2 linked regions of the Stegostoma tigrinum genome follow. The protein of the gene in region 1 interacts with the protein of each later gene in a pairwise test. Links are inferred from orthologs where the notes say so. Each region holds a gene or a part of one and is shown on either strand. Other genes may lie near its edges. The genes, in order: poc5 and uncharacterized protein LOC125458671.

The links.
Region 2: the proteins of poc5 (region 1) and uncharacterized protein LOC125458671 interact in binary tests that used the Homo sapiens proteins (3 or more experiments, as listed by UniProt). The link is inferred for Stegostoma tigrinum from reciprocal best matches to the Homo sapiens genes POC5 and CETN1.

Annotation. Positions count from the first base shown.
Region 1 is NC_081356.1:105,375,151-105,388,064, forward strand, and holds the start of poc5 (centrosomal protein POC5), read right to left. Parts: upstream 6,417-12,914; 5' UTR 6,345-6,416; coding exon 6,342-6,344; intron 5,389-6,341; exon of another isoform or gene 5,315-5,388; intron 4,004-5,314; coding exon 3,920-4,003; intron 1-3,919. UniProt on the Homo sapiens protein: Essential for the assembly of the distal half of centrioles, required for centriole elongation. Acts as a negative regulator of centriole elongation.
Region 2 is NC_081368.1:48,214,310-48,226,668, forward strand, and holds the start of uncharacterized protein LOC125458671, read right to left. Parts: upstream 6,320-12,359; coding exon 6,191-6,319; intron 1-6,190. Other genes in the region: nsdhl (sterol-4-alpha-carboxylate 3-dehydrogenase, decarboxylating), read left to right, coding at 9,354-9,371, 11,591-11,752. UniProt on the Homo sapiens protein: Plays a fundamental role in microtubule-organizing center structure and function. Plays a role in sperm cilia formation.

The sequences.
Region 1 (12,914 bases):
ACAGTGCAATTAACTTTAATTATAAAAGCAGAACATTCCAGGTGTTGGAAATATTCGGCAGACCAGGCAATCCACTTTCGGCCTTGGATGATATAATTGCTGAAATATTTCAAAACTGGATGTCCATATAATATTACAATAACGTGCTCATTCTCATGAGATGGAATTTGCAACTTCAGCAAATGCAAGTTGGCCATGTGCTAGGAATCTGAATGATGTTGTCTTTTACAGTTTTGCCACTCAGCAAAGTTGAAAGATCCATCCATGCTAATAAGTTGGGAAACAATCACAGAAGCCGCAGCGTGGAAACGAGCCATTTGGCCCAACAAGTCCACACCGATCCTCTGAACAGCATGCCACCCAGACCCATGCCTCTACCCTATCCCTGTGACCTTGTATTTGCCATGACTAATCCATCTATCTTATACATTCCTGGACACTATGGACAATTTTGCACAGCTAGTCCACCTAACCTGCACGTCTTTAGACTGTGGGAGGAAACCTGAGTACCCAGTGGAAACCCACAGACAGGGGCAGAATCTGCAAATTCCACACAGTCACCTGAGGGTGGAACTGAACCCGGGTCTCTGGCGCTGAGGCAGCATTGCTAACCACTCCTAAGAGCTACATTGATGGGATGTAGGCATCACAGAATAGGTCAGCCTTTATTTCCCATCACAAATTCCCCTTGAAGTGTTGGTCATAGTGATGGCAATCTTGAACCACTTCACTCGTTTTATTCTCAGAACATCATAATGCTGTTATGGAGGGAGTTGCAGGATTTTATTTTAGTGACACTGAAGGAATTTTGAGTCAGGATAGTGAGTGGCTCAGAAAGGCCAGGTATCCACGTATCTGCTGCCCTTATCCTTTTAGGTGGAAGTGGTCACAGGTTAGTGAGGTGCTTTCCAAAGAGTCTCGGTGAATTTCTGCAGCATATCTTACAGATGGTATACATTGTTGCTACTGTGTGTAAACAGCAGACGCAATTAATGTTTACGGATGCATCATTGCAAGCAGCACTCATAATAGAGATTAATGGGAACTGCAGATGCTGGAGAGTCTGAGATAACGTGTGGAGCTGGATGAACACAGCAGGCCAAGCTGCATCTTAGGAGCACAAAAGCTTTTGTGCTCCTAAGATGCTGCTTGTCCTGCTGCGTTCATCCAGCTCCACACTTTGTTATGTCAAAATAAGTATGGCTGGTTGGCAAATTCAGTCCTCAAAAGTCCCAGTGATCCTGAAAATTGGCCAGGGGTATACCAGATAACTGCGGAATGGGCAAACACGATGAAGAATGACAAAATTTGAAAGAAGAAATTCATCTAATCATAGGGAGGTAGCAAAAGGGAATGTTGAAGCAAGTTTGGATGGAGAGGACAGACTGAAGTTGACTTCAAAACAAATAAAGTTGGGGGTGTGGGAAATAAAAAAAAGGAAGGGAGGATGCCAAGGGGGAACAAACAGTCTTAGCTCAGTTTTCCTTTTGTTGACGGATTTAACTGGAATCAAGAAACTAACAGTACTACTGGCATTTCAAACAGCATAACCAGCAAATGATGGACTGACCTAAGCAGTTCCAAAACCAACAGATCAAATTCAAGCTCTGCAGTTCTGCCACATCCTATCACGATGAAGGACAATGAAACAACTAACCAGAGGCATATCTCTGCAAATAACCCCACCCTCAGTGATATGCGAACCTTGTACTTCACCTCAGTATCACTCACCTGCCAGTATCCAGAGAATTTGATTTATTGCTTGTGATATTGAGACATGACTGAAGACACTGCAAGGATTTTCCCCTGACAAAATTCTGTAAAGGTGAAGTGAGAGCGATCGCTCTTGACATCAAGGCAGTATTTGATCCCTGATTGGAAAAGCAGTTTCTTTTAAAATGTTGCCATTCTACGTGTGGTATCAAGCAGGTTCCTCCTCGGCAGCATTGTGGGTTTATCAACATCAAATGCACTTTGTAGGAGGCGATGCCCCTGTGGTATTATCTCTGGACTGTTAATCCAGAGACCCAGATAACATTCTGGGAACCAGGGTTCAAATCCCGCCATTGCAGATGGTGGAATTTGAATTCAATAACTATCTGGAATTAAGAATCTAATGATGATTGTGAATCCATTGTCAACGGTCAGGAAAAATCCATCCGGTTCACCGATGTCCTTTAGGGAAGGAAACTGCCATTCTTACCTGGTCTGGCCTACATTTGACTCCAGACCCACAGAAATGTGGTTGACTCTGAACTGCCCTCTGGGCAATTAAGGATGGGCAACAAATGTTGCTTAGCCAGTGACGCCCTCATCCCAAGAATGAATAAAGAAAAACAGTAGTATCCACCAAAAGGAACGCTTTCTTAAACAGTGACCCAATGGTTCCTGATTCCCGTATGAGTGGAAACGGTCTCTCCATATCCACCCTGTCAAACGCGGCGTTAATGACTAAGCACAGTGCTGATTGATTGGCATAGGCATTATTGTGGAGAATGTAATGCTTTTTGAAGCATGATTGGTAACTGTTAAATTTTGTTTAAATTTTAAACAAGGCTGGGTCACTTGGATTGGTCAATGCTTTGCCTTGGGGAAAAAATTCTAAAGATCCTATTCTGTTGAATTGAAACAGGTGTAGCAAGTGTACATGTTCTTCCTAGGGGCGAGCCTCAGACAATCTGGAATGGGCTGCCAGTGTAATTTATTGCTGACTCGTATTACTTACGAAATGTTGTCCAGAACATCTACTGTCAGACAGAGTTTAGACACTGCGCAGGCTGTTGCAAACAGAAGTGCTAGGTTAGTGAGTTTTGAGAAGATTTGTAACTCAGGTTGAGGTTCTGGATGCGAGTTTGCTCGCTGAGCTGGAAGGTTCGTTTTCAGACGTTTCGTCACCATTCTGGGTAACATCATCAGTGAGCCTCCGATGAAGCACTGGTGTTATGTCCTGCTTTCTATTTATCTGTTCAGGTTTCCTTGGGTTGGTGATGTCATTTCCTGTTCTTTTTCTCAGAGGATGGTAGATAGGCTCCAAATCAATGTGTTTGTTGATGGAGTTCTGGTTGGAATGCCATGCTTCTAGGAATTCTCGTGTGTGTCTCTGTTTGGCTTGTCCTAGGATGGATGTGTTGTCCCAATCAAAGTGGTGTCCTTCCTCATCTGTATGTAAGGATACTAGTGATAGTGGATCATATCTTTTTGTGGCTAGTTGATGTTCATGTATCCTGGTGGCTAGCTTGCTGCCTGTTTGTCCAATGTAGTGTTTGTCACAGTTCTTGCAAGATATTTTGTGCTAGGTTATTTGACACAACTGGCCAGACTTTGGGATGTACAGACTATATGCCCAGCTCCACATCAGCATCAAAATTTGTATGTTACATTCCTGATCTGCACAATAGGCAGAATGCCTTTTTTTCTTCTGAAAGTGCCCAATTTAAACTTAGATTCAGAATAATGTTTCTCGAAAGTTTGAGCAACAGGCTAAGGTAGCTGTTTCACATTGACTCATTCTGCATAGTAGCAAAGTGGCAGCGGTGATGGGTAATTAAAACTTGAAGAACAGGAGGACTCTGGTAACAGAATCTGTAATAAAAAGCAAAGCTAATGGGGACAATGTAGGCACCATCAGCTGTTGCTAAAAAAATGATTCACTAATGTGCTTACCTGGTCTGGCCTACCTGTGGCTCAATACTCACTAGCATGTGGTTGACTCTTGGCTAATCTTTGTGCAATTAAAGCTGGCCCATGCCAGTGCCATGCGCACTGTATGAACAAGTAATGGTGCTGAAACAAAATGCACATTTTCCTCCCCAAGCAATACATAAAACCTACGCTATCAAACGACTATTCTTTTTAAATATTTAAAGTGTTCAATTATGTTTATCTTTAGATACTCAAAAATGAAATTCCTCTTCCCTACCTGTAGATCAGAAGAAACTGAACTACCTCGATCTGAATCTTTGGGGAGTACAGGGCTGGAAATCCTTTCATCATCAGAGGACATCTGCACAAGAGAAAGCAATCAATTTTTTTTTCCCCCGAGTACTAATCTAGGCCCAGAAGAGAGACAACAAAATCAGTACAATTTTGATAATATCTGTTTACTATTTCAATCTTCTGATCTGAAAAGTATTAATCTTTCTGACCTCAAATTTAACCTGAGCCACCATCCCCCAGTAGATATTATGTTAACATGCTTCTTGCAATCACAGATACAATAAGATGGCTCACGAGAGTCAATTCCCTTAGACTACATACAATGCCACTTAAAAAGAATGTATGAAGTGTGAACTCAAACCCGTTCTTTAAGGGTATTTCCTACAAAAATTAGAGAACAGTGAGCACAGCTTTCTTAAAAAAAACTTTAGTAAGTAAATACTTCAAGGAATTTAATAGGGTCACGATCCAGCTCACCAAAATCAAAGTCTAGTTCTTTTTAAAAATTCTAGGCAAGTTACGAGTTTTCTTACCATTATAATCAATTTTCGTATGGAGGACAAATTTCTAGCTCAAAATGGTATGAGTTTGGCTACTTCCAATTTGATCCTACCTGAATAAATTAATTAATGTAAACAAACTACTTCAGTAGAACATGCTGGTAACAGAATCGTACTTCAGCTACATTTACAATTGCGCAATTTTAAAAAAAAACCCACCAAACATTTTGCCAATCCACTGACATTCATACTAAATTAGTTGAGATTTTCAACTCTTTACATTAAGGGAACTTATTAAGAGCTTCTGAAATTAAGAGCATGAAGCAGTATATTTCTTTCAGTTCTGATTATGAAGGCAGTGCCAGAACACAGGTAGCAGGTTTCATTAAGAAAAAAAAAACCATCATGTTAATCTTTCTCCATGAAAGCCAAAGATACATCTATATTGCAACTTTCAAACAGTGAAACATCTTAACTTATAGGAAGGTAAACAGAAAAATAAACTAATGGTAACTAAGCAAGGAATCATTAGGAAAAGTTTTTAAATTTATTATATAATGGAATGAGAATCATTGGCATTTATTGCCCATCCATAACTGCCCTAGAACAAGTTAGCTTACTAGAGAACGGTTCTTAAGAGTGAATCGCATCACTGTAGAATCTGGAGTAACACGTAGACCAGACAAGGCAAGGATCATAGATGCTCTTCCTCAGAAAGAAGAAGTGAACTAAGAACACAAATAAAAGAAGTCCATTCAGCTTCTCAAGTCTGCCCCACCATTTAACAAGACCACAACTGATCTGCCGATGGTATCGACCCCATTTTCATGCCAGCTCAGAACAGCTGTCAATCTGTGATATTTGAAATGTCTATCTACCTCATCTTTAAACACTTCCAGTGATCCAGCATCCACAATTCTCAGGGATAGAAAACCTCAGACATGATTACTATCTGTGAAAAGAAATTAATTCAAATTTCACTTCTCAATGAGTGACCCCTTATCCTGCAACTATCTCTTATTTAAATATCTTCTCAATATCTACCCTGTCCTTGATAAGTAACCCCTTTCATCCCAGAAATCAACTTTGAATATCCTTCTATGCCAGTATAACCTTTTTTAAAACATACAAGGACCAAAACTGTACACAGTAGAATAAAGTTAATGTTTCAAGTCCAATATTAGTCTTCTCCAGTTATGTCATATTGGTCTAGAACCAATAACTTTTTCACTCTAGATGCTGCCAGACCTGCTGAGTTTTCCAGCATTTTGCGTTTATTTCAGATTTCCATCATCCCACTATTTTACGTTCATTCAGCAAAATTATCATGCATTAAACATTAAGTCAGTCATAGAAGTTAACACAGATATTCGATGGCTTCCATGTTCACCTAAAACATCCTCAATACAAGTCAGTTTCTATGCAGGCACAATCCACGCATGAGAAGGAAATTTATATCAGGATACCTATAGATTAAGTGAATAGGTATAACTGTAGTAGATCGAGATCAATTTAAGGAACTGCTTTTACATCAACCAGAGTCCAAGATATCCTATCTTATAAAAGCAAGCAGTCAAGATGCTGCTGGGTGGGATTCTCCGAGGGTCGGTGTGGACTTGTTATGCCGAAGGGCCTGTTTCCATACTGTAGGGATTCTGTTCTACGTCTCCCGCTGAGCTTTGCCAGCAACTTGTTTTAGTTCCCGATTAACAGCAGCCGTAGATCTTTCGGTTTTTGCTTCATAAGGAGCAGGCGACTGGAACACTGGGCCTGATCGTCAGGAATGAAGTTCGACCCGCGGCTACCGCCGCCTTATTGTTAACGGGACTGCGAGCTTCAGCTGAAGGACCCAGGATATTTAACATAGCTCAGTTTAACCGCGACTAAATCACCGAACACCCTTACCATATCCACCAACCGCCGCTCCTGACCTCCGTCCGTGCTCTCTCCTAAACCGTTTCAAACGGACCGCACGCTAATAACCGCCCAAACTATTGGAGGCTCAGACAAGCAAGGCTCACCCTGATTGGTCTAACCTGCAACACCAACGTTGAACCGCCTTGTGCGCGGATTGGATAGAACTCCCGGATGCGTGTGGTTGCCATGGCGCAGAGACGCGGGACGCTCACCCCCAATTGGCTGGGCGTCTCTCCCAACCCGCGCTTGAGAATTAGCGAGTGATCAGAAGCTTCTTAAGGTCTGCGCTTTGTCAGGGGATAGTGGAGCATTTCTTGGCGCTGACTATTCAGAAAAAAAGAAAATTTCCATTGTCCTAGCCATTTTTAATTTAAAAACCCTGTCATCAAAAATACGTCAACTGATCCACTCGCTATTTGGAGAGCCTAGCAGGGAAGATAGTGCAGCAGCTTTGGCAGGAATTTCTGGGAGTAATTCAGAAATTCATCCCAAGGACGAAGAAACATGTGGGGGTGGGGGTAGGTGATGAAGCAACCATGACTGACAAGGGAATTCAAGGACAAAGTAAAAGTGAAAAGAAAAAGCATCCAACGTGATGAAGACTAGTGGGAAGTCAGAGGTTGGAGAAGCAGTAAGTGTGGGACTTGGGGTGGCGGGGTGTGCAAAAGAAATGGTGGAGGAGATATATTACGTCAGTTTTCACAGTGGAAGACACCAACAATGTACCAGAGCATCAAGAGAGTCAGGGGCAAGAATGAGTGTCGTGGCCACCGCTAAGGAGAAGTTGCTGGAGAAGCTGAAAGGAAATCACCTGGATCAGATGAGATTGAGGAATACTTGGAAGTTCATGGTAGAATAGGGCAGAGTCAGTACAGCTTTGTCAACGGGAGGTCGTGCCTGACAGATCTGTTAGAATTCTTTGAGGAGGTACTGAGCAAGTTAGACAAAGGAGAGACAGTGGACATGATCTATTTGGATTTCCAGAAAGCCTTTGTCAAGGTGCTGCATAGACGGCTGCTGAATAAGGTAAGAGTCTGTGTTAGAGGCAAGGCACTGAGATGAATAGAGGCTTGGCTACCTGACAGAAGGCAAACAGTAGGGATAAAAGGGTCTTTCTTAGAATGGCAGCTGGTGACTAGTGGAGTTCCATGGGTGTCCGTGTTGAGACAGCAACTATTGATGTTATACATTAATGATCTGAACAAAGGAATTGAGGGCATTCTTGCTAAGTTTGCAGATGACACAAAGTTAGGTGGAGGGACAGGCACTGTTGACGAAGAGGGAATACTGCAGAAGAAAATAGCAAGAGAGGCAGATGCTGAAGTCAGAGTCAAAACAGTGTGGAGCTGGATGAACACAGCAGGTCAGGCAGCATCAGAGGAGCAGGAAAGTCGATGTTTTGGTTCATTCACTTCATCAGGATTGCAGAAGGACTTGGAACAGGCTTGGAGAACGGGCAAAGAATTAACGGATAGAATACAATGTGGTTGTGCACTTTGGTAATAAAAGAGGCATAGACTATTTTCTAAATGAGGAATGACTTTGGAAATCTGAAGCAAAAAAGGACTGGCAGTCTTAATTCACAATTTTCTTAATGTTAACTCACAGGTTCAGCTAGCAGTTAGGAAGCCAAATGCAATGTTAGAATTCATTTTGAGATGGCTAGAAAACAAGAGCACAGACGTACTGTTGAGGCTGCAAAGGCTCTGGTCAAACTGCATTTGGAAAATTATGAATGGCTTTGGGCCCCATATCTCGAGAAGGATGTGCTGGCATGGGTACAGAGAAAGTTTATGAGAATGATCCTGGGATGAAGGCCTTGACATATGAGAAGAGGGTGAGGACTCTGGGTCTGTACTTGAAGTAGTTTAGAAGGATGAGAGAAGAATCTCATAGAAACTTACAGAATACTAAGAGGCCTGGATAAGAGTGGATGTGCAGAAAATGTTTCTACGAGTGGGAGAGGCTATGATCTGAGGGTACAGCCTCAGAATGACAGGATAACCGAGATGAGGAGGAATCCTTTTCAGCTAGAGCGTGGTTAAGCTGTGGAACTCATTGCCACAGAAGCCTGTGGAGGTGAAGGCATTGAATGTATTTAAGACACAGACAGGTGCTTGATTAGTAAAGGGAGAAGGCAGGAGAATGAGATTGAGAAACATATCAGCCGTGAGTGAATGGTGATGCAGATTCAATGGACTGAATGACCTAATTCTGCTGTTGTGATCTTATGGTCTGCTGGAAAGTAAACCAATAGAACCTATGATCCAAAAGCAAGATAAACCAATGAAAACAACATAAGATTGTATAAAAACAGCATTAGTCACATTGGAATATTCTAAAATAGTAAAGAATAAGAGCAAAATCAAAAAAGGTAGAAAAGAGAAATGTATACCTCTGCAAAATGTCACACTGGCATATTCAATCAATGTTGTAGTAATCTGGTTTATCTCCCAGCTCATTTTCCTGTAGGGAAATGAGGGAAATGATAATGGGGAACAAAGAAACAGCAGGAGAATTGATCACATACAATGGTTCTGTCTTCACAAAAGAGATCACAAATAATTTCACACAAATCTTGGGGAAACCAACGATCTAATGAAAGGGAGGAATTGAAAAGAAATCAGAGTTTTTAAACTAAATTGTTTAAAGAGAGACAAGTTCTCAAGTCCTGATAATCTGTGTCCAGAGTACCGATAGAAGGGGCCCTGAAAATATTGGATGTATTGGTGGTCATCTTCCAAATTTCTAAAGATTCTGGAGCAGATAGTACAGATTTGAAGGTGGCAAATGTAACTCAACTATTTAAAAAGAGAAGGGAGAAAGAAAAGCGGGCATGGATTAGGTATTGCTTTACAAACCAGCAACAGAGGTTGGGAATAAATCTGTCTTTTTCCAGGTAAACGGTGGTAATTAGTAGTGTATCACAAGGATTGAATGAAGTAACCAAAAGCAATGTTTCCACGTTTGTTGAAAAAAAACTAGATGAGGTTTTGAGTTGTGAGGAAGATTCAAAGAATCTTCGGATCCATAGAGAGAATAATTGTGAGGGAAAACACATGAGAGAATAACATGTCTAAATATGAGCATTTACACACTTTGGTGTGAAAAACAGAAAGAAAGAATGTTATTTAAATCTGAAATACAGGGAAATATGCATATACAAACGGACTTTGTGTCATTGTACACCAGTCAATGAAAGTAAACAAACAGGTACAGCATGAACCTCGGAAAGCAAATTGGCCAATGGTAGAGGATTTTTGTTCAGAAGTAAGGATGTCATAGTACAGCAATACAGGACCTACTACTTGAGCATTGTGTGCCTTTTTGGTGTTCCTGCCTAAGGGAGGCCTGGTCTGGAGGACAGGCCCTATGAAGAAAGGCTGAGGGACTTGGGTCTGTTCTCATTGGAGAGAAGGAGGCTAAGAGGGGATTTAATAGAGACATACAAGATGATCAGAGGATTAGATAGGGTGGACAGTGAGAGTCTTTTTCTGAGGATGATGACTTCAGCTTGTACAAGGGGGCATAGCTACAAATTGAGGGGTGATAGATTTAAGACAGATGTCAGAGGCAGGTTCTTTACTCAGAGAGTGATAAGGGCGTGGAATGCCCTGCCTGCCAATGTAGTTAACTCAGCCACATTAGGGGCATTTAAACAGTCCTTGGATAAGCATATGGATAATGATGGGATAGTGTAGGGGGAGGGGCTTAGATTAGTTCACAGGTCGGCACAACATCGAGGGCCGAAGGGCCTGTTCTGCGCCGTATTGTTTTATGTTCTATGTTTGCTGTAGAGAGAGTGCAGCAAAAGTTCACAAGACTGAAACTGGGGTTAGTAGGACTGTCGTATGAGGAGAAATTGGTTTGACTGGTTCTGTTTTTACTAGAGTTTAGAAGAATGAAAGGTGATCTGATTGAAATGTATAAAATTCTGATGGGACTGGAAAACTGAATGAGAGGAGGTTGTCTTCCTGATTTGGGAAGTCCAGAACCAGGGGTTTCAGTCTCAGTAGGCCATTTAGGACAAAGATGAGGAAACATTTCTTCACTTAGAGGGTGGTCAACCTGTGGAATTCACTAACACAAAAGCTGAATCATTGAGCATATTCAAGAAAGTTTGATAAATTTTTAGTTAGTGAGGACCACAAGGGAGAGCAAGAGGATATATGGCATTGAGTTAGAAAATCAGCCACAATCATATTGAATGGTGGAGCAGGCTCGAAGGGTCGAATGGCTTTCTCCAGCTCCTAGTTTCTATATCTCTGTAGAGTTGCTAAACTATCATAAAAAGGATGATCTTGCAAAGTGATTGGCATTTCAGAATTTAGACAGGAGATGGTAAGAAATGATGACAACAAGATGACCACAACTTTTAAGGAAAATAATCATTCATTGTGCAGATATTACCTAGCCAATTCAAGATTCACAATGAGCTGTTCATGTGCTGCTCATGTGTTTCCAAGACAATTACAGTTCAGGGTGCCTCTGACCACGCACAGGTCATAAGTTTAATAAATGGGTCAATTGGCAAGAAAGAAGACCGGGCACAAAAGGAGAGATTTGGTGGGCATAAGAGAATAAGAGACTTGTACCCAGCCAATCAGTGACATTGCAAAGTGGATTGACTGAAAAGCATTTTTGTTATAAAGTATTATTTATTTTGTAGCTTGCATGATAAACTACATAAATTTGGTAAAACCCATGAAAATATATTTGTACCTGAAATTAGGCTTATATCTAATCAGGATGAGTTAACTGTAGATTGACTCTTTCAAAGTCAGTCTATAAATGTAAGCGACTTAGGACTACAATTCAAGTTAAAGTGACACCCAAAATCTTCAATATGGATCAAGAAACAAATAGAGGAAGAGCTGAATTCTCCAAGGAGATCAGCAGTTTGGGATTGCCACTCGGCTCAACTTTTCAATGTGTGGATTCGCTGAGCCACAAATCTGCACACTGCTCTAAGTCCTAATTCTGTCGCTTGGAGTATGACTGTTTTAGGAAAAACCTGAGGCAAGTTCTTTTCTACATCCTGATGTTTCGGAGAGCTACACTACAATTTAACACAACAGCTAATGCACTGTGACTGGCAATGTCCTTTTGGGAATTTGACAAGTTTTCATTTAAGGGCCTGTAGTGGCGTGACACTCACCATTCGTTGCCTGTGTTTCTTCCAGATCCTGATGACTCTGTAAAATCATGCCATCTTATAACTATCAGCATGGTTGTCAAAGCTCAGATCACCAGATGGTAACTGACAGAAAACTGAATGCAACTCGTTATTCATTTAGCACCTTTGATTTACAAAGATACATAAATATATACCAAGAGATTTCAGCGTACTTCTATTTATATGTGCACAGGAATGTCCCCCACCTGGCTGCAGCTTTCTCTCAATGATTAAATGATTAATTGATTCTTTGCTAGCTGTAAATATAAGTGTCAAACAACAGATACACAATAGAAATTAAGCTTCGAGAAACAAGGTGGAGGACACACCCTTGTCTGAATAGATGGTACTGAGGTAGAGGTGGTCAAGAGCTTCAAATTCCGAGGAGTGACTATCACTAATGATCTATTCTGGTCCATCCCCATGTCTACACTGCTGTCAAGAAAGCACACTAACATGTCTATTTCCTCAGAAGGCTAAGGAAATTTGGCATGTCCACCATGATTCTTACCAAATTTTACAGAAAGGACCCTATCCCGATGCGTCACAGCTTGGTATGACAATTGCTCTGCCCAAGGCCACAAGAAAATACAGAGAGTTGTGGACACAGCCCAGTCCCTCATAAAAACCAGCCTTCCTACCATTGACTCTGTCTCTACTTCCTGCTGTCTCGGGAAAACAATGAACATAATTAAAGACGCTCCCAAGCACGTTATACTCTTTTCCACACACTTCTATTGGGCAGAAGATACAAAAGTTTGAAAACACATACCAACAGATTCAAGAACAGCTTCTTCCCTGCTGCTATCAGACTTATGAAAGGATCTCTCATATGTTAGAGTTGATTTTTCTCTGTAACTTTTGTGCAGCTGTAACACTATATTCTGCATTATGTTCAATTACCCTGATGTACATAGGTAAGGTATGATTTTTCTGGTTAGCTTGCAAAACAATTCCTGAGAGATTACTGTCAATGTATCCATTATCCCTGTAGTTAATTCCTTCAATATTCTGGGATACATTCCATCAGGGATCTATTAGCCTTTAACCCCATTTGTTTCCCTAGCACTTTTTCTCTGGTGATAATTATTATATTTATTTCCTTTCCTCCTTTTCCATATGGTTATTTAGTAATTTTAGAATGCTATTCATGTCATTTATTGTGAAAGCTAGCGCAAAGTATTTATTCAATATGTCCTCCATTTCCTGATTCCCCGTTAATTCCCCAGCCTCATTCTCTTGGGGAACCTATGCTCACACAGGCTTCTCTCTTCTGAACTATGTATTTAAAGAAGCTCTTGCCACTGGTCTTGGTATTACTTGCAAATTTAACCTCATGTATGAAGTATTTTAGACCATAAATAATCTAACTTCAAAATCACAGG
Region 2 (12,359 bases), on another chromosome or scaffold:
TGTCAAAATAGCTAGACCCAATCACCACCTGGCAGAAGAGAACTGGGGAGACAGGTGAGTTAACAGCCTTCGCGACAGTGACCAGGAAGACCAGGCACAAGGTCTAGGAGGTAGGTTGCTACTCTGGAAGCAAGTAAGCCATGCCAGATACATTTCTCTTTTGTATTTTAAAAACTTTGCTTTCTTGATAAATTTAAGTATGTCCAAAAGTAAAGCAAAATGAGTCAGCAAAGAAAGAAAACCTGAGCACATTTCATAATGGAATGGCTTTCTGAGGTCATTAAAATTAAATGCCATCTCCAATGCAAAAACAGAATGCGTGACTCAGTCTCAGATTCACTTTAACTTATTGTGAAATGTACGATCTGGAGTAGGTGAAAGTTCTCACTGATAATATCATACATGGTGTAAAGATGAATGCATCAATGCTTCCATACAGGACATTGATGATCATATGACAAAGTAATTGAGAGCTTGCACAGTAAGAATTACACCTTTGGATTTGTGGAGCACATTGGTTTCATTACACAAAGGCAGTTCATGGATGAATTGCACAAATCACTCTTTCATACATTGATAGTGGATGAATGTACAGACATTTCAGTTTACAAAATAAAAAATGTTGATTTTGTACATCAAGTTTGACCAGAATTTGCTTAAAATTCTGCATTTGCAGGAATTTTGAAACTCACTGCATCAGTGCTAATTGTGGCAGCAATCAATTTTATGTTCAGTGACCTTGACTTACAGAAAATGGTGATGTTTACATTAGACGGAGCAGTTATGCTGGGAAAGATAAAGTAGCCATAGTCTTGTGATGCAAAATTAAACATTCATCAGAAGAGCATTGCATTGCTCATAGAAAATATCTGGGAATTGATGTTTGGACAGAGGTGTCAATTATGCAAGACATTAAAATGCTTCAAAGGAACTATGTAAAATGATCAACTGTGAAGAACAGAAAATAAAATCTTCAAATTGTCCTCGTCAAAGAATGTAATACAGTTGCATTTCAACCTCTGAATGATGTGAAGTGGCCGTCAAGACATTTTGCAGTGAGTGCTCTAACATAAAAACCACAATAGCTCAATGGAGTACTGCAGACAGCAAGTGAATAAGCGCAATGATCCAAAAAATAAAATATTGCCTGAAACTGCTCACAAAGTCAAAATATTGCATTGCATTGACTGCTTTGAATGACAGTCTCAGTGAACTGGCATCGTTGTGCAAATTCCTGCAGAAAAGCTCTTTGACAACAATTGACGCTATGCAATTTCCTGACGCCTCACTAAACTGAGGACTCGGTATCTAGGTGAACTTCTTTATCGGAGTGAAGAAGGTTCTGGCTGCTCTCAGTGATGTGAACGCTACCACAATCTTTAAATTTATTCAATGCCTACATGACTATCTGGTAAGATTTCCACAAGAAGAATTACGAGAGTGGCATGCATTTAACCAGGCTGCAAGAAACCAAGAAAACAGATTATGAATTTGGAAAACACAGTATTGTGCAACATATTGAAACATTTCACTTTATAACCACACATTTGTATTATTTTGGTTGAAAAGATACATGAAGAATGGTCCGATTTCAAATTTATGGTTGTGGACATACGTTCTGTTCAAACATTCAGTGATTTGGTGGGCTATTTCAGGCATCAAGTGCTGACTGCGAGTGTAGATTTAGCCTCATGAATTTGATTAAGTGCAAATCCACAAAGAGATTAGAATAGATCGCTTGGGACAATTTGATACAAGTTGGGTCATACATTTCATCTGGACAAATTTTAATCCAAATGCAGTTTACAATCGTTGGGCAGCAAATTAAGATTGGTATAAAAGACCGTCAATAAAGGAGTTAATAAACTGCTAGTAAGGAGGTGGCAATTCAGGAACAGTGGTAGAATTCCCACCTGTTATGCAGGAGGTCCAGGTTCAATTCCCACCCAATGCATGGTACTTCTTCCCTTCTGTTCGTGCTATACTCTTTCTAGTGGGTGACAAAATGGTTAGCCCTGCTGCCTCAGTGGTTTTGATTTTAGCCTTGGGTGAATATGCAAACTCCACACAGACAATTCTCTCTGTGTCTGTGTGGGTTTCTGCTGGGTGCTCCAGTATCCTCCCACAGTCCAAAGATGCGCAGGTTAGTTGGATTGCCCATGCTAAATTGCCCCAACAAGGGATGTGCAGGCTAAGTGAAATAGCCACAGTAAATGTAGGGTTATGATGATAGAGTGGGGGTTGGGTCTGGGTGGGATGCTCTTTGGAAAGATGGCGCAGACCCAATGGGCTGAATAGCTGCAAACCACACTGTAGGGATTCTATGATCCTCTTTTGGTCAAATAGTATATATCTTGAACACAGCACCAAATCCAAACAGGTCCCCAGACTTCTGAATTTCCAATTGTTGTTTATTTTAGCAGATCGAATATCTGTAGTTGTGAGATAGTATATATGCATGTTTTTGATAGTTAATAATGATAAAAATTGGCATATACATGTAGAATGCCTGTAACTGTAAATATTAACAAAAGGCAAAAAAAAACGCAATTCAACTGCCACTCAACGCAATATGCCACTCTGGGACCTACACAGGCCCCAGAAAATTTAGAGGGATCATTGAGTTCCACCCTTTTCATCATCCTCATTTTTGGGCTGTGGGAGGAAATCGGAGTACCCGGACAAAACCCACGCAGTCACGGTGAGAATGTGCAAACTCCACACGGACAGTCGCCAAGGGTGGAATCAAACCTGGGTCCCTGGCACTGTGAGGGAGCAGTACTAACCACTGTGCCACCCAGGACTCTGTAAAATGCTGTTGGCATAGAAGATTAGTCACAATCACGTTGAGTAGCAGAACTTAATGGGCCGAGTGGCCTACTCCTGCTCCTTTTTTCTATATTTATTTCTGCGAAGCACAAGTCATAAACGTTACGAAATACTCTTCACTTCCCTGGATAACCCATTTCTAACAATATTTTAAGTAGTTCAGCTTTATTCAGAACAAAGCAGCCCGCTTGATGATACCTCAGCAATGACTGCTCTGTACAACATGCATTGTAGTAACTCGTCAAGGCTTCTCCTGGAATGGATTGCTAGCCACAACATCAAACGTCACTGTTTTCCTGGCTGTTTCATTTGTTTTAAATATCAAGGTTTATCCGACAGCACCTCACCCAGAACAGCATCATCAGCAGGAGCACGGAAACACAATCACCAACAATGTGCCCTCAACAAAAACACACAATAACCTGACTTAGAAATACATCATTGCTCCTGTATTACTGTTAAAAAGAGTCTTGGAACTCCGCCGCCCCCCCCCCCCCCACCACCACCAATAGGAGGTAGCAGACATCCCTTCCTAATAAGAGACAACAAGGTTAAAGACGTGGATGAGCACAGCAGGCCAAGCAGCACCAGAGGAGCAGGAAAGCTGATGTTTCGGGTCTAGACCCATCTTCAGAAAAATTCTTGGAATAATCGATCACTCTTTATCAAGCTGTTGTTCCCACTTTCTCACATTGTAGAAGATTCTGACTCCACTCTCCCTCTGACTCAATCTTCATGAAGCTGTTGTTTCCACACGTGTTACTTCTAAGCACAGATTCTCTCCCTCTCTCTCTCTCTCTCTCTCTTTTAGATAGTGGTGACTCTCTGGATCCTCCTTTCTCTCCGTTTTGTTTTAAAACTGTGATATCCGATATGGCTACTTTGATCGTTTCTTCAGTTTGTCAACTGAAATTTGTTAAGCAGCTAATATTATCACAGGGACTCTTAAAGTCTAACTAGCTGGCATTTATTTCCTATTTTAAAGCTGGATGAATTCATGTAGGTGAGTTGCCCTGCTTAAAAGGCCAATTTTGAGAATTAGTTCGAGATATGAAAACTAAGCTTAAACCTTGCATAATTAGGGACTAGTAACCCAGAGGTTTATGCTGATAATATACAGACATGAGCTCAAAATCCCTGATGGCAACTGGTGAAGTTTGAATTTAATGAATAAATCTAGAATTGAAAGTGAGTCCAATGAATCCATTATTGACTCTTGTAAAAGAAAATCCCCACATAACTAACGCCTTCCTGGACAGAGAGGCAAGCATCCTTACCCCATCTGGCTGATCAATGCTCAGATCCACAGCAATGTGGATGATTCTAAACTGCCACTCAACTGTATCAAGTTGCTACAAAGTCCAAAGAAATGAATGAAACCAGACAGACCACCTGGCATCAACCTGCGGACAACTGCAAACCTAGCACAGTCACTTGCTCTTCCTTCATTGTCCCATGGCTAAAATCCTGGAAACATTTTTCTCAGAGGACTGTTGATGTGCTGAGGTCTGCCAGCAATTCAAAAAAAGGCCATTCATCCTCATCTTTTCTGGAGCAGTTATGGATGGGCAATAAGTACTGACTTAGCCAGCAAAAAACACATTCCATAAATGAAAAACGATTTTTTAAATGCTGTGCAATTATCAGAAATCAGTATACATTTAAACTGAAAGGAGCCTCCCCACTCCAGCCATGACAAGAAAATTAACCAAGTATGTCTCTAAACAATTTCTCTGTCATATGCCCTAACTGATATCTGTACAGAAAATGCTTCATATCCATCTGTTCAGTAACCTTCAATATCAAAAACAAGACTTTTTTAAAGCTGTCATCACTTGACTTTCTTTTATCACCACCATCTTTGATTCAATTAGATGTCTGGGTAATTGCTTGCAGCTACTTCCACTCTACCAAAAATTCACTGAACTGCAGCAGGCAACCTATTCACATGGAACTTCTGCCATACTTCCACAAAAGAAAAAACACCATTAACAGCCCTAACTCCAAAGATTTTCCTAGTTTATCTTACAGCATTATCTCTATTTTTTCATAACTGCCACTTTACAAACTTTACTTCAGAAAACATTCACTCAACACTCTACATGCCTGTGTCATCCCAAACACAAAATTTAGAAGAATCTTGGTCTGGAGATATCCAATTTTGAGACACTGTGCCTGTAATTCAACCATAAAATTACTGCCCTGATCGTAAACAATATCTCAAGTTTTACAAGGACCATTTTATCATAAGACACTTGTCAGAATTAGATAAACTAAGAAAACAAATGAAAGAGTTTTAGGTTTGTCAGTAAAATTGGTTAGTGTTCAACAACCAGTACGATCGCTGGATTCTATCAATTCAATCCCTTAATAAGGGACTAGTTCCTCATTTATGTGTCTGCAACAATTTTGTATTGATTTTATATTACAACAAAAATAAAATTGGTATTTATTTTATGGTTAGGGGGTATTGGCATCCAACCCAACTGATTGAACAATATCCTGTATTTTAAGCCATTTTACAGGAGCGTTTTTGAACACAATTTAACATCGCCCCAATGCAAATAGAGATGAAATCATCACTAGCAACCTGTAACTTGAATTGTACTCTTGTACCCGCATATCAAAATCACCTAAGTAACATCAGCGTTGGGCTACAGTTTAAAGAATTAAAAGTGTGTGCTTGGTGCAACATTTAGTCTAGAATATTTTGGTGTCTTGCTCCGTTATTTCATTAAACTCTACACCAAATGTGCCAGTGTTTACGATGATTAACTTTTTAAATTCGTAATTGTTAGAGCATTCAGCACCCAAGTCATCACGTTTCTTGAAAACAATGTCGGTAAATTAACTAATAAAGCATTCACTTCTGTTCCCGGAATCTTATAAACAGCTAGACAACAGTGGCAATTTTGGCAGAAGGTGCTTTTAACCTTTAGTTTACGTTGGAATGGTTCAAAGGAAAGTGAATTATCTATCATGTGTTAGAAACGAGGTTCAGGAGGAAAAACCCTGTCTGTTCTTGCTCATCCTGCGTCTGTGCTGGGTTACAGTGGAGTCGAAATCGAACCGCGCCCAAAACCCTTTAATTGGTACGTTAAATAGTCAACAGTGCACTCACTTATCGTCCTACCTTCTGCCTTTGCTTTATGATGCCCAAGCCTCAAATTAGGTCTTTACGATCCGACTCTCCCCATTTTACCCGATTCCTAACTGTCACTCCCACACACTTCCAAATTTCGCAGCTTCCCCCATAATGCTCCCGCTATTCACCTGCTATTTGTCAGCAGCCGTTGGCGGCTTTCCCACGAATGTTTTAAAATGCCGGTCAGAATATCGGATGAGAAGTGCCTTTACTCACCTTGGCAGCCATTTCCACACGCTCTAGACAATACGTTAACAACAAATTTGCAATTCCCCAGCTGTCGCATTTCCAGACGCTCAAGCTCCATAGCAATCGGCCGACCAATCGCAGTCCAGAAGCGGTCATTCCCATGGTCACCGGTGACGCGTCAGTCATTTTGGCTAGTAGGCGGGCTCCGCCTGAATATTCACCAATCCGACTGCGGTTCCCACTGCAGGGCAACGCCCCCTCGTTCTGATTTGTCACGTTAGTGACGTCTGGTGTAATTGCCGTTGACGGCTTCTAGCTTTTGGCTTGGAGACGAGGGTGTTGGAAAAATTTGGCGGTTTGTATTTGGAAGTGTGTGGTGTGCGTTTTTCTCATCACTCTGACCTGCTCAGTACTGCCTATCGGACGTGAAGCCTTTACCAGTAAATCCTCCACTGACCCTTAAAGTTTCCCTCATCCATATCAGTGTTAACAAGGGTTTCCGTCTCTCTCACCCCCTCAAAACTGTGTGAAGTGATCCCACTGGAAGAAGGAATACGCCGGACCAGGGTCATGGGCTCTTGAATTGTGGAACCCTGAAAACCACGGTATCTGCTGCTTCTTCAGCAATAATCTTGGTAAGGATATGCTTCATTCTAGGAAATGACATAAACCAAACGTCAACAATAAACAACTGCACCTCCCAGTCGCGAACCATTTCCACTCCCCCTCCCATTCCTCAGACGACATGTCCATCATGGGCCTCCTGCAGTGCCACAATCATGCCACCCGAAGGTTGCAGGAACAGCAACTCATATTCCGCTAGGGAACCCTGCAGCCCAATGGTATCAATGTGGACTTCACCAGCTTCAAAATCTCCCTTCCCCACCGCATCCCAAAACCAGCCCAGTTCGCCCCCTCCCCCCCACTGCATCCCAAAACCAGCCCAGCCTGTCTCTGCCTCCCTAACCTGTTCTTCCTCTCACCCATCCCTTCCTCCCACCTCAATCCGCACCTCCATTTCCTACCTACTAACCTCATCCCACCTCCTTGACCTGTCTGTCTTCCCTGGACTGACCTATCCCCTCCCCACCTATACTCTCCTCTCCACCTATCTTCTTTTCCCTCCATCTTCGGTCTGCCTCCCCCTCCCTCCCTATTTATTCCAGAACCCTCACCCCATCCCCCTCTCTGATGAAGGGTCTAGGCCCAAAACATCAGCTTTTGTGCTCCTGAGACGCTGCTTGTCCTGCTGTGTTCATCCAGCTTCACACTTTATTATCTCGTCAACACTCTGGATTGGGGGTTAAACCGCTTGACTGCTAAAACAGCAAATTTCGTATCCGTATCTCCCTCTCCAATAAAAGTACCTGAAGCAAACAAGTTATTTTCTCCCATCAAAGACAACAAAGTGTGGAAATGTCAGCTTTCCTGTTCCTCTGATGCTGCCTGCCCTGCTGTGTTCATTCAGCTACACACACGTTGTTATCTCAAACTCCAGCATTGGTAGTTCCTACTATCTCTTATCAAAGAACAGAAGGTCTTGGCAAAATGAACACAATTTTAAAGCTACCCACTGGTGGTATTGAATTCTGGTTCTCAGTATTTTTTGTCCGCCCAAAATAACAATTTGTTTTTGTTTGTGCATGTGTGCAAGGGTTTCAAAATGGATTAGAGTTATATTGATCGCGTGTACCTGTGACTTGAATTTAAATCTTTGTAATAAACAGCCATTCTTTATGTTCAAAAAACCTGATCAGTGGTTTGATTTTGTTAATTTTATTCCAACAAATAGGTCAATTAGGAGTATACATTACTTTGATTTCATCACTAACTTTTTGTGGTGACCCTGGAATACTCGTGCTTGAGAATCAACACACTTTCTCAAGTGGGTCATGCTTCCTGTATTTGGACCCCCTCAGTGGCAGCTGTATTTCAGCCCATACACTGTTGCAAGCAGGCCTGCCAGAGGAAACAAACAAACTGCCCAAACTGCTCTCTGATGAAGGGTCTAGGCCCAAAACATCAGCTTTTGTGCTCCTGAGATGCTGCTTGGCCTGCTGTGTTCATCCAGCTTCACACTTTGTTATCTTGGATTCTCCAGCATCTGCAGTTCCCATTTTCACATTGCCCAAAATAATGTTGACTTTTCATTGACAACTGAAATTAGAAGCCTACAACAGCTTACTCTTCTTTCCTGTCCCGTTTCTTTTGCTAAAAGACAAGAGAGACATATTGCTGTATTTGTTTGTCCTCCATTAGTGAAGAGCCATAGAGTCATACAGCATGGAAACAGACCCTTTCGCCCAACTAAACTAGTCCTATTTGCCTGAATTTGGCCCATATCCTTCTAAAACTTTCCTTGTCATTTGGCAGGCCCAAGCCTCTCATATTTGCAGCTCGTTTCCAATAAGACCATCAGCAGCCCATACAAAATAATAGAGTATTATCTCAAATATACTTTTCCAACTTTCCAACTCTTTATATATAAATAAATGTGAAGAAACTCAGCAGGTCTGGCACCATCTGTGAAGGAAGAAACAATATTCTGACAATAAATCGAAACAATATTTTGAATACAATATTCTGAATGCTCTCACACCTGCTCAATTTCTCCAGAATATACTGTATTTATTTCGTCTCTTGACTTTAGTGATGTCTTGCTTTTATTCGCAGCTATGCGGGACCTGACCATTCACCAACAACAAAAGCAGAAGTTGATCGAACAAGTCTGGCACCATCTGTGGAAAGAAAAGAGTTAACGATTCGGATCCAGTGACCCTTTTTTAGAAGCGAAAAGTTAATGTTGCTTTTTCTGCATAGATGCTGCCAGACCTGCTGAGTTTTCCCGGAAATTTCTGTTTTTGTTTCTGATTTCTAGCATCCACAATTCTTCATTTCCAACCCCTGCCCATTCATCCGATTGACCCGGAGAATGGGTAACCTGTGGGTGAAACGAAGCCCCATTCTGATTGGTCACTGCTTCACGTGCCATCACCAGCCCATGGTCATACGATAATCCGATTGGAGGATGCATGTGTCACCCGGGTAACGGTTGCCGAAAAGCGGTATGTCGACCAATCAGAGACAGGGCTACTATTATCGATGTAGTTGAAGAGGTGGAGCTTCGGGTCGTTAGCTGTGCCTGTATCTTTTATTCTAAAATCTACGAGGAGACTTTGCTACTGGGGAGATGGCCACACGTTTAAGGGTAAGGATATTGCGGGCTAATGCTATATAATATTGCGAGGTTTTGTTGGATACACAAAGAATGGGGAACTGTCGATGCAGTGTGCAGACTATGTTGTAATACAATGGTAATCACCTGCCCGAATCATTTATGCAAATACACCTGGCGTTTTCACTCTAAAAACATGAATTGCTGGAAATGTATGGGATGCGCCTGTGGCGAAAGGGAGAAGCATTTAACCCTTCAGGTCCACGAGCCTCCCCAGACTTGGAGAAAGTGAAAGGATGAAGGCAGGGAAAAGATCACAAAAGGTAGACAGTGATAGAGTGTAAATTAGGAGACATCACCTGATAAAAGGATTAATGTTGCAAGGCCAAAGGAACCAATGCCTAATATGGTGTTATATTGTGCACATAGTGAAAAGGCAGGATATTGACAGCAGTTAATGATGTTTATTAGAAGTGCTGGTGCGGACACAATCTGCCGAGTCGCAGCCTGCTGCACTGTAACACTTTTGTGATTATGCCACCTGAGATCTGATGAATGGTATCATGGAGAAAGGTGACGTTTTCCCTGCTATTAAAAGAATCCATTGCTTTTTTTAATGGTTGCACAAATGATGACTGAGGAGTGGACCAACACCATGCAAAAGGAATGGTTCTTTTGGAATGCTGGAAGTGAAGGACACTGTATTTGACATCACACTTGAGCTGGCAGAAATGGCAGAGGATGATCAATTGTCTGCAAAGTCTGGTGGAGTAGAATGAGAGAACAAGTGGAACACGAGAATGGTTCGAGGAAGGAAGGGAGGAGTTGATAGCTGGAATGCATCTAAAGGGAGAGACAAGATTGAGGTCATTTCAATCAGTCAGGTAGAGAGAGAGACTTTGATTAGAATCATAGAATCCCTACAGTGTGGAAGCAGGCCATTCATCCCAACAAGTCCACACCGCCCCTCCAAAGACCCATTCTCTTACCCTTTCTCTATAATCCAACATTTCCCATATCTAATCCACCTAATTTACACACCCTGAGTCACTACGGGCAATTTAACATGGCCAGTCCACCTAACCTGCACATCTTTGGATTGTGGGACGAAGCCAGAGCACCTGGAGGAAACCCATGCAGACACGGGGAGAATGTGCAAACTCCACACAGACAATCAGTCGAGGGTGGAATCAAAACTGGGTACCTGGTGCTGTGATTATGGAAAAGGAACTTGCATTAGAAGTGCTAGAGGTTTTGAGTTATTTTTGTTGTTCTTGGGATGTTGGTGTCGCTGGCTAAGTTAGCATTAATCATCCTGGAGAAAGTGATGGCATGCTGCCTTCTTGAACTGTGGTAGTTTGTGGGGTGCTTGTAGACTTGTAGGGCTTTTAGGGAAGTTGTTCCAGAATTCTGAGCCAGTGACTGTGAAAGAACAGTGATGTAGTTCCAAGGTATAGTGGCTTGGAGGAGACCTTGCAATGGGTGGTGTTCCCATGCATCTGTAGCACTTGTCTTCTAAGATCTCGAGGTTCCAGGTTGGGTAGATGCTGTGAGAGCAGCATTGATGAATTAATATAGAGCAGCTTGTTAATCGGACATCCTCTTACCGCAGAGAGTTGGTGATGAAGGGAGTAAATGTTGAAGGTGGATGGGGAATATTTTATCACAGTCCCAATTTGTGTCCTGTAGGTGGTGGATAGGGATGAGGGGAGCAGAAGATGACCTACTTTCCAACCTCTGACCTATTCTGGTAGCCACTTTATTTATGCATCGCAGGCCAGTTAAATTTCTGGTCACTGTAATCTCCCCATGACATTTTAAGATCAACAATTTTAGATTATAACCTCTGCTCCCATTTTGTTTCCTTGTTGGCTTTTCAACAAAGATATTGAAAAAGTTTTGTTTTTTTTTCCTTTTGGTTGGCAGTTTTTCATGTTGCCTACACATATCTTTTATTCCTTTACTTGCCCCATTATTGATTGTGGCTTTGGAGCATTGATCCTTGTGATAATACGTTCCCTCCTGATGTTTAATACCCCTGCATTTTACCCTGTCACAGACCTTCTCCCTTGCTCTTTTTCTACCTCTACCTGCTCAAAATCTATTACATCTCTGACTTTTCCCAGTTTCGATGAAAGATTATTAACTTGAAACACTAACTCTCCTCCTCAGATGCTGGCAGGCCTGCTGTGCATTTTATAGATGACAAAAATGTAATATGTTTTACTTTTGACTGACTTTTCGTTTTATAGCACAATAAGAAATGTACAGTTATCGGGGGCTCAGGTTTCTTGGGTCAGCATTTGGTGAAGAGGCTTCTGGAAAAAGGCTACACTGTTAATATTTTGGATGTTCGAAAACCTGTTGAGAATGAAAGAATTCAGTTCTTCAGTGCGGATTTGTGCTGTAAAGAGGTTGGTATAAGGTACATTTTAACATTGTAATATTGATGTCTCAGTTTCTCATGATGCCAGCAGCATGCATAAAGAGAAACAGCTCGGCTTTGTAATATTTGATTTGCCAGTGATATATCATTCCTTTTTTTGTATGACTCTAATTTTGTTAACTGAACTTAACACAAGCCTTCAGTTTAAAAAATATTATCTAGGACTGACAACACTTGTTCCTGACTTGACATTGTTACTGGAGAAAAACTTTTTCATGGGTATGCTGACGCCACACAGCTCTGCCTCACCACTACCTCCCTCAAATTCCCTGTTATCAGACTGACCGACAGATTACTGACATCAAGGATTGGATGAGCAGAAAGTTTCTCCAATCAATGTAGGCTTTGGTAGAGGGTGAAGAATTAACAATTGATTTACTGAGAAGTGAGTTCCTAAATTGGAACTCTGTGTGACAGACTGTAACTTCAGAATTTCTGTGCTGATGTGTTTATCTGATGTGCTGAAGTTACGGTCACTTTCAGAGGGGAACTGTAATTATGAACTGTACATCTTAGTGTTGTGTGTGTATATACACATATTTTTAATGGCACAAACTATGTGGTAGGAATGTATT